Pelodiscus sinensis: one gene and its partners. The protein of the gene in region 3 purifies or fractionates together with the protein of the main gene of each other region. This does not show direct contact. Links are inferred from orthologs where the notes say so. Each region holds a gene or a part of one and is shown on either strand. Other genes may lie near its edges. The genes, in order: POLR3E, POLR2J and DNAAF10.

Evidence for each region.
Region 1: the proteins of DNAAF10 (region 3) and POLR3E purify together in Homo sapiens (affinity purification with mass spectrometry; 3 studies listed by BioGRID and IntAct, with this or other methods). This does not show direct contact. The link is inferred for Pelodiscus sinensis from reciprocal best matches to the Homo sapiens genes DNAAF10 and POLR3E.
Region 2: the proteins of DNAAF10 (region 3) and POLR2J purify together in Homo sapiens (affinity purification with mass spectrometry; 3 studies listed by BioGRID and IntAct, with this or other methods). This does not show direct contact. The link is inferred for Pelodiscus sinensis from reciprocal best matches to the Homo sapiens genes DNAAF10 and POLR2J.

The regions. Positions count from the first base shown.
Region 1 is NC_134726.1:22,733,798-22,737,545, forward strand, and holds the start of POLR3E (DNA-directed RNA polymerase III subunit RPC5), read left to right. Parts: upstream 1-1,482; 5' UTR 1,483-1,639; intron 1,640-3,748. UniProt on the Homo sapiens protein: DNA-dependent RNA polymerase catalyzes the transcription of DNA into RNA using the four ribonucleoside triphosphates as substrates.
Region 2 is NC_134731.1:15,827,624-15,831,371, reverse strand, and holds the start of POLR2J (DNA-directed RNA polymerase II subunit RPB11-a), read right to left. Parts: upstream 2,282-3,748; 5' UTR 2,178-2,281; coding exon 2,125-2,177; intron 263-2,124; coding exon 173-262; intron 1-172. UniProt on the Homo sapiens protein: Core component of RNA polymerase II (Pol II), a DNA-dependent RNA polymerase which synthesizes mRNA precursors and many functional non-coding RNAs using the four ribonucleoside triphosphates as substrates.
Region 3 is NC_134713.1:181,847,230-181,850,977, reverse strand, and holds the start of DNAAF10 (dynein axonemal assembly factor 10), read right to left. Parts: upstream 2,912-3,748; 5' UTR 2,788-2,911; coding exon 2,599-2,787; intron 1-2,598. Other genes in the region: RNA-binding protein PNO1, read left to right, coding at 2,973-3,182. UniProt on the Homo sapiens protein: Key assembly factor specifically required for the stability of axonemal dynein heavy chains in cytoplasm.

The DNA of each region.
Region 1 (3,748 bases), on a different chromosome or scaffold from region 3:
CTTTCTCAGATCAAATAGTGAAAGAAAATTGTCACAACCATATATACCAAAGGACACAATTAAAAAAATGAACACATATGAAAAGGACAAATCAAATTTCAGAACAGAAGGGGGATGGATGAAGGGAGGTAAATGTCTGTGAGCTAATGATATTAGAGGTGATAATTGGGGAAGCTATCTTTGTAATGGGGAAGATAATTAGCGTCTTTATTCACTTGAGTGTAAAGTGTCGAATTTAAGCATGAATAACAGTTCAGAGGATTCTCTTTCAAGTGAAGTCTTAAAATCAAGTCATTGAGACAATGTCCTTTCTGGTTGAAATGTCAATAAACTGTTTTTTCTTTGTGATCCTGTCTGATATCTGTTTTGTGGGCATTGATCCTTTGGTGAAGTGTCTGAGACGTTTGTCCAATGTACATAGCAGACGGACACTTTCGGCACATGATTGCATAAATTATATTTCTTAGACGGCTGTTTTACCACACAGCAGTGAGAAGAAAATGCCTAGAGGCTATAAGCTTTTCAAATGAACCAGGCTTTGATTTTTCAGCAAGAATTGTTCAAGAAAGAAAAAAATACATCAAACTAGAACATCCCGGGCAAGAGATACCAGAAATGTAGGCTTTTCCTGCCAAATTGCAGGCCTCCCTTATGGGGGGACAATTCACACTCATGGCATTGTGATGTTGCAAAGGCTTGATATTTGCATTGTAATGTTGCAAAACTTTGGGTTGATGCTGCACTGTGGCATTATATAACAGAAGCTTCATTGGGCTACTGTATGACAATTCTCTGATACACAGTGACATCACATTATTACACTGCCGTACTAGGATACTGAGTTTTGTAAAAGTTTGACACCCATTTTTATACTTAGTTGTTTCACATTGGAACAGTGACATGCCCACACTATTAGTGAGCAATGGGACATCCCTCCAGAACTTCAAGCAGCTCGGGAGCTCTGGAATGATTGCTCTAATTAATGCAATCTAAATGCAAAAATACTGATTAGCCAAACTTACCTGTTTGTACCTATTGCTAATATTATTTCTTACTATCTATCTAGATCAGTGATCTGAGCTTATTCATGTACTTGAGTTGCAAAATAGTTTATCTTCTGAAAAAAACTATTTTTAAACAAAAAAAATCTATAATGGAAGCAAGTGCATTCAAGCCCTTCATTTCTATGTGAAAGACTCTCCATAATTGAATATACCTCCAAAGCTTCTGACTATACAGAAGCTACAGTATTGGAAAATTATAAGGGAAAAAATACGAACCATCAAATGAATACACTATAGGAAGAGCTACATCCCATGTCGGTAGCGTGGCCGAGCGGTCTAAGGCGCTGGATTAAGGCTCCAGTCTCTTCGGGGGCGTGGGTTCGAATCCCACCGCTGCCAGAAAGCTTTTGTGCTTCTGTGTTTTGCAGGGGACCGCACAGCGCCGCCTGCTGCCACGCGGAGAACCTTGACCCCGCCTGGGAAGCATTGTGGGTAAGAGGAGGAACTAGTCTCCCCACGTGTCTGCTGCTGGAGTTACATCAACATGGCTGCTGCATAAGAGACCCCGGGACCCGCAAACCCATTGCAACGCGCCGAAGGGGGGGACCGGCTGCCCCTGGACCCCGCGCCACGAGGTAGGGGGGCTTGTGTGGTGCATGGCTCCGGCCCCTAGTGCTGCGCAGGGCGTTGCAGCTGCTGCGGGGCGCGTTCCTTTGCAAGGCCTGGGCTGGGGTGCGCGCTGCCTGCTGCAGTTCCTGGGCTTGAGCTCAAAACTCTCCCGGAGTCTGAACTCATTCGCCGGGAACTGCCTGGGGAGGGGGACCTGGGAATAGCTGGGCAGGGGTTGGGGATGCTCTGCATATCTCCCCCCCTCCCCCGGAATGATGCGGGGATGACTGCTGAAATTCACACGGTTTGCTTGTAATCAATCAATCAGTCTTCCTCTCTGCCTCTCGCCTGTGTATGTGGGGGGGCGTGCAGTGTCCCCTCCGTGCGATTGCTGCATGGTTACATCAGTCGTCTCAGCCTCACACCAAAGTCTAGTTATGGGCTAAGAATTGAAAAAAAGACTTGGCACCGTCTCTCTTTGCCTTTAGAGTATCCCAGGACTAGGAAAGAGTCAGATTTAACATGAGATTGTAGATAGGTGTGGAATCTCTTCTCCCTGAGGTGAAGTGGTTACATCGGCCATCTCTTTGGGGAGGCTTCTTCTCCTACCTCCCCCCAAGCAGTAAGCAGAGTTTGATAACTCCTGCCCCTCCAGCTGCTTCCCCTGTCCTGGAAGAGTGAGTAGTGAATGGCACAGGTACATGCACCTCTTTCTGGCCATCTGTGTTGTGGCTTGTTTAGGAAAAGCTTTACATCCTGATTCAAACTACCAAGTCATTCTTGCTCAGAGCAGGATTTTTGCAATCAATAGTTTAAACCTATGTTTTAAAAGCTGGCTAAATTGACATGTTTTGCTGTAATTCCCTATTTACTGTTATTGTGCTGGGAGAAAGTAGACTTACAAGCTGCTGGAAAAAATAATTAAAAACCTTCTTATAGCAGAGGGTGGCATCCAGTATGAAGGCCCAGCAGATACCAGGCACGATGTGTCATGCCTGTAATTTGGAGCTTTCACTGACTCACTGACCAGGTGACCTACCCTTTGCACTGGGTTTTCTTTGATTATGCTGTGGTTAGGGAGAAGCTATTTACTAATTTCATTCATCCAGCTACCCTGACACTGAAAGAACAAGCTTAACATTTAGTACACAAATGATATTTATGGAAATGTTAAGGTTCATGTACTGCCTGGCTGAAGTAACCATTACTGGAAATAGAAGCCTTGATGCACACAGTCCCAATGTTTTGGTTAATTAACAGAATGTGGTTTTGAAAAGGAGAAAGTGAAGGAGAGAACCTTGTAAATACACAGTTGTCTTCCTGTAGTTCTCAAACTAACATAGGCATTGTGCTGAACATCACCTGATCAGGATCTGGGCCAGTGTTTGAATGAGAGACCTCTAAGAAAAACCTGAGTGCTACAGGAAGTGACAATGCTAATTCAGAAGATGTCATTCTTCCCTTTTTAGTGGTTATGAACCAGAGCTTCTGCATATTAGTAGAACAGTGATTCCCATCTCTGTGTGTACCGTGACCCCATGTTGCACCAGAAAAATGTTTCAGGTCTCCCTGTACCTCAGTAATTTCAGGGGCCCCTCCATTCTAGCCATAAAGAGAAGCAGGTTAATTGTGAGCTGCTGGATCTATTTGTGCAAATCATGTTAAGAACCCATATCTGAGGGGGCACTATGGAACTGGAGATGCTAGCTTTCAGATGAGACACAAAACTGAGGTTCTGTCCACTTGTGGCCATCTTAAGATCCCATAGAATGAGAACAGATGTGTTACCTCATTGTTTTAGCTGAATTCAAACTTGGGGCAATCGAATTCTTGCTCATTAAATGCTACATGCAATTTAAATTAGATGGAATTTTTTTACTTGTTCTAAATTGAGCAGCTGTTAATCAGCTGCTTACCCCATCCCGCTTAACAGTGTTTTAGTTGTAGGCAAATTGAGATCTTTGCATGTATTACCCTACAGCTGTTTGGGGGGGGAGGGGATGTGTTAAAATGTAGTTAACTAATAACAGTGAGCTCTTTAGATGGACATACCTTCAGCAATCCAGAATCTACCTAAAAATAGTATTTGCACCATCTACTAAGTTGTATATTGTATCTTTTATTTCTCCCAATGT
Region 2 (3,748 bases), on a different chromosome or scaffold from region 3:
CACAAACAGGCCTGCAGACCTCACCCAAACATGCTCCTAAACCGGACTGCATGCTAGGTTATCTGGTGTTTGGTTAGTCACTGTGCACCCAGGCAACCATCCTAGCTAAATGTAATCCACTGCCTTGCTACCGTACTCCTATAACTGTGCAATAGGAAGTGACTTGACTTACGATTTAATAATATTTCCAAGCGTGTGATCTTCCTTGTTGATTGTAAACAGACAGGCATTTGGTACTTTTGTATCCTTATTAATTGTGATCCTGAATTAAAAAAAATAGTATTAAATCAAATTATGCGAGCTAACAAATTAAACCAAGCCATTCTATAAATATCCAACATTTATCTTTTGATTCACACCAGATAGATACTTTTGTACATGTTTTGGATAAACAAATTTATGAAGTCAATATGGAATCATGATCCTGATTCATCAGAAGGAAAAAATTCACAGAACCCTAACAGCATTGCTACAGCAGCACAACAGTGACATAAGAAAAGAAAGAATTTCAGAGCACAGCTTGCTAATTTAAAAATTAGTGTAACAACAAGTGCTTCTCACACAGCTGTAGCTGCATATTGTTATTGGCAAGAGAAAACTCTTCAATGGGCCAAAAATTACTCTATGCACAGTGCAGTAACAAAAGGTTAATTTAGCAAACATTAATTTGAAAAGCTTTGTGGGTAAATTAGTCAGCCTCAGAGTTAGGGATGTAAGCGACTAGTCAACTAGTCCCTTGACTAGTTGATGCCTCCCTCAACTAGTTGCTTCCACCCCAACTGCTGCCTCTATCAGTTTGTATTTCTGAAATTCTCACTTAACCAATAACTTTGGTTACGGAACTCAGAATAGGTAAAAGGAGCCAAAACATAGCATATGTACCAAATGTCAGAGCAGAACAGAGCAAGATTTGAAATTAAAGGATTTAATTTGGACCCACCTACTTTTGACTGTCTCTCCTAGGACTGTACACACTTAATGTCAAGTGACACCATCTCTGAATTGGAGACATATTTATGGTCTACCACCTAACTGGAAGCCCCTCTGCCAATTATTGAGATTTTTACAATACAGATTGAACCTCTCTAAAGCAGGACTCTCTGGTCTGGCAACACTGGACCACAGATGTTCCAGTACCAGAGTGTCCTGGAGGAGGGCTGGCAGACAGGAGCCTGGCGCATCGCAGTGGGGCTGCCCAGCGGGGCCAGGAAGCCTGGCAGGGCAGGCGGCAGAGGGGGAGCTAGTGGGCTGGGGATGGAGTGAAATGACCTCCACGAGTGTGGCAAAATTCCTCATCTGGGACTGGTCAGGTCCCAAGGGTGCCAGATCAGGGAGGTATAACCTGTAATAGAAATGCAGGATGGAAAGAACTTCAAGAGGTTGTCTAGTTTTGTGGTTCTCAAGCAAGGGTCTGCAGCTGCTTCCCCTCCTTCCCCTCAGACCTAGTGCCCACCACAAAGCCCATAGGTGGGGTTTGGGGAAGCATTTGGGAAGGGCAGTAGCAGAAAAAGGCCAGGCTTGGAGATCGAACCGCCATGCGGGCTCCTGGACCAAATTGTGCAACTGCTCCATCAGGGACAGCCCAGGAATTTGAGACTCCCGTTAAAAACCTTCCAGCTGGGTATTCCACAAGTCCCTGAGGTAACCTGCCCCCCTGCACACTCAGTGTTATGGCTGGAAAGGAATCCCTGCTACCTAAGGGCCAGGTGAGCACTCGGGCCAGCAGACTGCTGACAACTGGCCAGGAGGTTCGGGCAGAGTAGTGGTGATGGGCCGACAGCTCCCGTGGTGCAAGCTATTGGAGAGGCCTGACCCCAGGGGGGCCTCGTACAAGCGAGCTGCGGCCAAGCCCGCGGCACTACCACAGAGTGAGCGCAGCAGAGTGAGTGTGGGGAGGGAGGGGGGATGAGCCGATGTCTGGAGCGGTCCGACGGGGGGGGGAGGGGGGTGTCTGAGAAAGGGGTCACCCCGGGTGAAGTGCTGAGGAAGGGGTCGGGTCCGGCTCGGGGGGGGGGGGGACTGAGGGGCTGAGGAAGGGGGCGGGTCCGGCTCGTGGGGGGGGGGGGGGGACTGAGGGAGGGGTCGGGTCCAGATCGGAGGGGGTGGAGTCCCACCCGCACTTACTTCTTCTCCCCTTCGAAGAGCAGGAAGGACTCGAAGGCTGGCGGCGCGTTCATCCTGCGGCGCTAACGGCTTCTAGCAGGGCCCGCTTCCGCTTCCGGCAGTCCCAGCGCTTCCGCTTCCGGGGCACTCAGCCCGTCGCCGCCGAATCCACCCGGAACAACGTCATAGTGACGCCCGCGGCAGAACGGCGGCAACGGTCGCCACCCGAGCGCGCGTCGTGCGTCCTAGGCTCTTTGCGCCTCTCACTGGACTCCCCCTCCCCTGTGCCGGCAGAGGCCGGGCATGCGCAGTACCTGTTCTAGCCTTTTGACGGCAGGAGCCCCCCGGGTGATAGTAGCAGCATCGCGGCGCCGCTCACGCACCGTCCGCAGGGCCGCGAGCCGCTGGCTCAGCTCACCGCCGCCCTTCAGCAGAGACACAGCGGGCAGAGGGACTGACTGGGGTCCCCGCTCACGACCCCCCCGCATCAGCTGGGCAGCAGCCCCCGCGGCTTTCCCCAGCACAGCGTGAGCGTCGGGCTGAGCGCAAAGCAAAGGGCCCCAGCTGTGGGGTGCCAGTCGTGCATTACACTAGAGCTTTAACCACCTGGGTGCCAGAGCCCCAGCTGTGGGGTGCCAGTCGTGCATTGCACTAGAGCTTTAACCACCTGGGTGCCAGAGCCCCAGCTGTGGGGTGCCAGTCGTGCATTGCACTAGAGCTTTTTAACCACCTGTGTGCCAGAGCCCCAGCTGTGGGGTGCCAGTCGTGCATTGCACTAGAGCTTTAACCACCTGGGTGCCAGAGCCCCAGCTGTGGGGTGCCAGTCGTGCATTGCACTAGAGCTTTTTAACCACCTGTGTGCCAGAGCCCCAGCTGTGGGGTGCCAGTCGTGCATTGCACTAGAGCTTTAACCACCTGGGTGCCAGAGCCCCAGCTGTGGGGTGCCAGTCGTGCATTGCACTAGAGCTTTTTAACCACCTGTGTGCCAGAGCCCCAGCTGTGGGATGCCAGTCGTGCATTGCACTAGAGCTTTTTAACCACCTGTGTGCCAGAGCTCCAGCGGTGGGGTGCCAGTCGTGCGATGCACTAGAGCTTTTTAACCACCTGTGTGCCAGAGCTCCAGCGGTGGGTGGGCCGTAGTGCATTGCACTAGAGCTTTAACCAACTGGGTGCCAGAGCCCCAGCTGTGGGGTGCCAGTCGTGCATTGCACTAGTGCTTTAACCACCTGGGTGTCAGAGCCCCAGCCATGGGGCCAGCCTGCAGGCATAGGACTGACCCCCACTCCAGCTGCACTTTCAGGGGTACAGGTGGGCGGGTAAGACACCTGACAGCCACTGCCAGGCCCTTGGGTTCCAGTCTCCTGAGCAGCCTCTTGCTCAGTTAGGAGCTGATCCCCCACCCGGGTGACAAGTCCACCTTGCACTACAAGGTGTCCAGCTGCCCCGCCTCATCGGTGTAGATCAGCGTACCGGGCCACGGGAAATAAACACCGGGCCTCTCCATGCCTGGTGGCTGCCGGTGGGGCCGGCCTTAGGCCGATTCAGACCCCGCATCCCTGAACCCAGAAGTGCCGGCGAGTTACAGAGCCAGGGGCCCTGCTCCACCACTATGTGGAGCTAGGTCTCTCGCCCAGCTCTGTATGGG
Region 3 (3,748 bases):
CCTTCATTTAAAATTAACAAAACTTTGAGAATTTTACTTCAAAAGATATTATTTCCAAATCTGACTAATAAACTGATGCAAGAAGATTAAAACTAAATAGAACATCAAAAAATCAAGAATAAGACCCAAAACTTTTGAGATTTTAAGAAACTGAAGTTCTTTTTATTTACTTTCTGGGTTTTAAGAGTTCAGGGTCACATTTTCAATCTTTTCTCCACTACCAGGAAAGCTAGGAACTCTGTTGTTGTTTTAAAATGAAAGATGGGAGTCTCACAATCACATCAATCCAGGAGCCAGAGCTCTAAAAAAACACCAACAAAGTAATGTGGGAGCTGGCAACAGTGTAACTAGGCTCCACCTCTACAACAGGAGTCTGTTGAAACTTATAACCTCAGCTACCATTGTTGCCCATTAGACACGCAAATGCCCAGCTTCTCAGGAGAAATTAAAATGCTGCCAAGCTGATTTGAAGAACTAGGTTTGTTGTTTTTACTGGTGATGCACATTTGCACATGCCTTAATGCAATTAATTTGTGCATGAATGGAAAAGATTAAATGAAACATTGCCAGCCATCCTACCCCTTTTAACAAGGAGCAATTAAATTTGGGTGATGCCCCCAAAATCTTTAGGCTGGCTATCAGCAGAGTTGTGAGATGGTAACAGACAGAAATGGATTTTGAGGAGGAAAGGCATTTCCTCCTCACTCCCACAACTGATTAACAGAAAGGATGCCAGGTAGAGGAGCCAGCTAAAGAAACCTCAGCAAGTTAGTAAGAAATACTTAAGGTCATGGAATACTGGACTGGAGGATGCATATTATACTTGGGAGATAAAGGAGGGATATGGATTTTTTTCTTGTATGGAAGTGGTGACATGGCTGAGGTAGAAATATATAAGCTCTTGTTAAAATTCTGGCAGCACATCGGAGTCTAAAATCCAAATACAGTACAGTACAGACTTGTAAAATCATTTTTAGGAACAGTGTACTCGATAATACATTAATCCCAATCAAAAAAACTTCTTAAGCTGATTTTAACAAACAAATTAGTTGCCAGCATTATTGCAAGGTACCTGGTCGTAAAATCCTTTGGATCTCAGCATGAAGATACTACTCTAATACATACCTACTATTTTTAGCCTCAAAACAGGGAAAATACACATTACAGACAGAAGAGTTCGGCCATCCTGAGTTGAACAGTAAGAAATCAGATTAATCTTTTAATATAAGGAGATCTTTAAATGACACTGAAGTATTTTAAAAAGCTTCAGTGGAACCATTCCTTCACACCCTCCCACAGTGCAGGCAGCATATGGCATGTATGCTCTTATGTAAGCATCAGAATGAGAAATGAAGCTGGAGAGTTTCTAGGAAATTCCATGTAAGACCAGTCAATGAAGTAGACATTTTAAAGTTGAGTTTTAAAGTTTGTTTTTTAATTTAATTTATGTTCTTTTTAAAGAAAAGGATGGCTTGAAACACTGTTTACATGTTTTACCTTGACAATATTCTCCTTCCTTCCCTATCCCCATTTAGAAGTACCCTGTGTGAAATATGCCACTCTCCACTCAAGTGGTGACTGCAATTCATTACTACGTATGTTTTACCAGATGACTTTGGGGTCACCTGTAGCATCCTGCAAATCCATGGATATCTGCTTTATATCCCAAGATATCCACATACACAGATGTGAATGCAGCTCTCCATGGATACAGATTTTTGTGGATACAAATGTTGTCACTAGAACAGTATTCCCTGTAAGCAGTGTGCTCCTGCCACACCAGAGAAATTAAAATGCTGCCCAGCTGACTAGCAGAGAGCCCACAGGAAGGTTGTGTGTTTCTATTGAAGGTGCACATTGTTTGCATGCCTCAGTGCACAGAAACATTAATTCTGCACATGGATGTATAAGGTTCTAGATGAATTTTTCCATTTTTGGATATTCTTTATGTGCTGGTATCTACACTCGAAAATTATTTATGCGGGTACGAATTACGTATCCATACAGGGTTCTAGTCATTTGAGGCAAAAAGTGTCATTAGAAGGCAGCATATGAAGTGACCTTAAAGTCTATGAGACAGCCACATACCCGGGGTTCCTGTTCTTTATTGGTGACTGCAGGGGGAAGGACTACATTGTCTTACCAGACCTCTCCTCCTTTCATCTGCAAGGTGTGTGAGGAAAAAAATGAGACCATTCTTGCAGACTGCATCAGCGGGGTGCTGACAGCATCTTTATCGGGGGAGGGAGGGAGATTTTCAAAGGAAGGGGAGAGTTTTGTGCTTCCACCCTACACCCCGGCCAGACGGCTGAGGGGCCGCCTGCCCAGCACCCTGGGTTGGGCAGGCCCGGCGTGCCCCAACATTACCATGGCAACCAACCCTCAGGGAGCAGGTGCTGCGGGTCCTGGCACCCGCTGTAGCGGACAGCAGCTCACGGGGGAGGGAGGAGACACTGAGGGGCCTGAGAAGAGACTCAGAGGCGGGGGGGGGGGGGGGTCGTAAAGAGGTTACCAGAGCTCAGGGGGCGAGCGGCACCCCCCCTCGGCAGAGCCCAGCGGGCAGGGGGGAGCAGCGCCCGGGCGGCTGCCGACACTCACCTCGCGCAGCAGGCTGAGGCGGCCACTCTGCAGCTCGTAGAGCTGGATGAGGCCGGTGCCGCGCGGGACGCTGCCGAGGCAGAGCAGGCGCGCGCTGCACGGCACCCATTTGCACTCGAACACGGTGTAGTTCAGCGACTGCTGCACGTGCGCGATCAGCTGCGGCTTCTCCATCCCCGCGCCCGACATGCCGCCCCAACCGCCGCGGCCTGCGGCGACTCAACCACGAGCCGGGTGCCCAGCGAGCAACGGCAACATCCGGGGCTCACGCCAGTGCTCCCGCGGCAGGCATCACTCGGGGCGGAAGTGACGTCTCCGTGGGCCCGGGCTACGTCGATCTTTTAGCCCGGCTTCGCCCGCACGTGGGGTGCTGCATGGAAGGGCCGGTGGAGGACGGGGCCGGGGTCCCAGCCCCGCAGACCCAGGGCGCGGCGGAGGCCGGCGGCTTTATCAAGGTCCCCCGGCGGGGCAAACGGAAGCGACGGGCGGCCGAGCTGGAGCGGGGCGGGGCCCCCATGGACACGGGGCAGCCCCGGCCCAGCAAGAGGCCCAACTTCCCCCCCGTCTCCGCGGACGCGCTCAGGGTGAGACGGGACGCGCCGGGCCTTGGGCCTAATCTCGGGGGTGTCGCTCCGGGGCCCCGCGCTGCCCGGTCCGCTGTCACCGAGCCCTGCTCGCCGGGGGCCGCCATGGGGGAGAAGCTCCCCTGCGCCGCCTCCGTGCCAAGGCCGAGCTCCTAGCGTGGCTCACAGCTGGGTCCGGCCGCCAGCCGTGTGGCAGCCCGGGGTTTGGGGGGGGGGGTGTCCTGTCGCCTTAGGGCTGTAGATAAGGGCGCAGTGGGAGTACCGGGGGCAGCGGAGAAGTTGTTAGGTTTCACCTCCCTGCCGATGAAGCTGTCGTGTTGAGCGATGTTGTTAATTTGAAAGCTGATTTTTTTTTTTTTTAAAGCAAGAAAAGTAGTCGAGGGCGCTAGACCTAATCTTGACTCCACCCGTAAACTTCTCTGGTTTTGCGGCTACGGAATTGTTTCATGGGTTTTCTCCTTTTGTTTTTTGTATACACACATGATACATGACCGTGCTGGGAAATAATGAGACCAGTAAGTCGTGTGCTGAAGGGTGTAACTAGAAAAAAGCAGCCACTTTCTCCT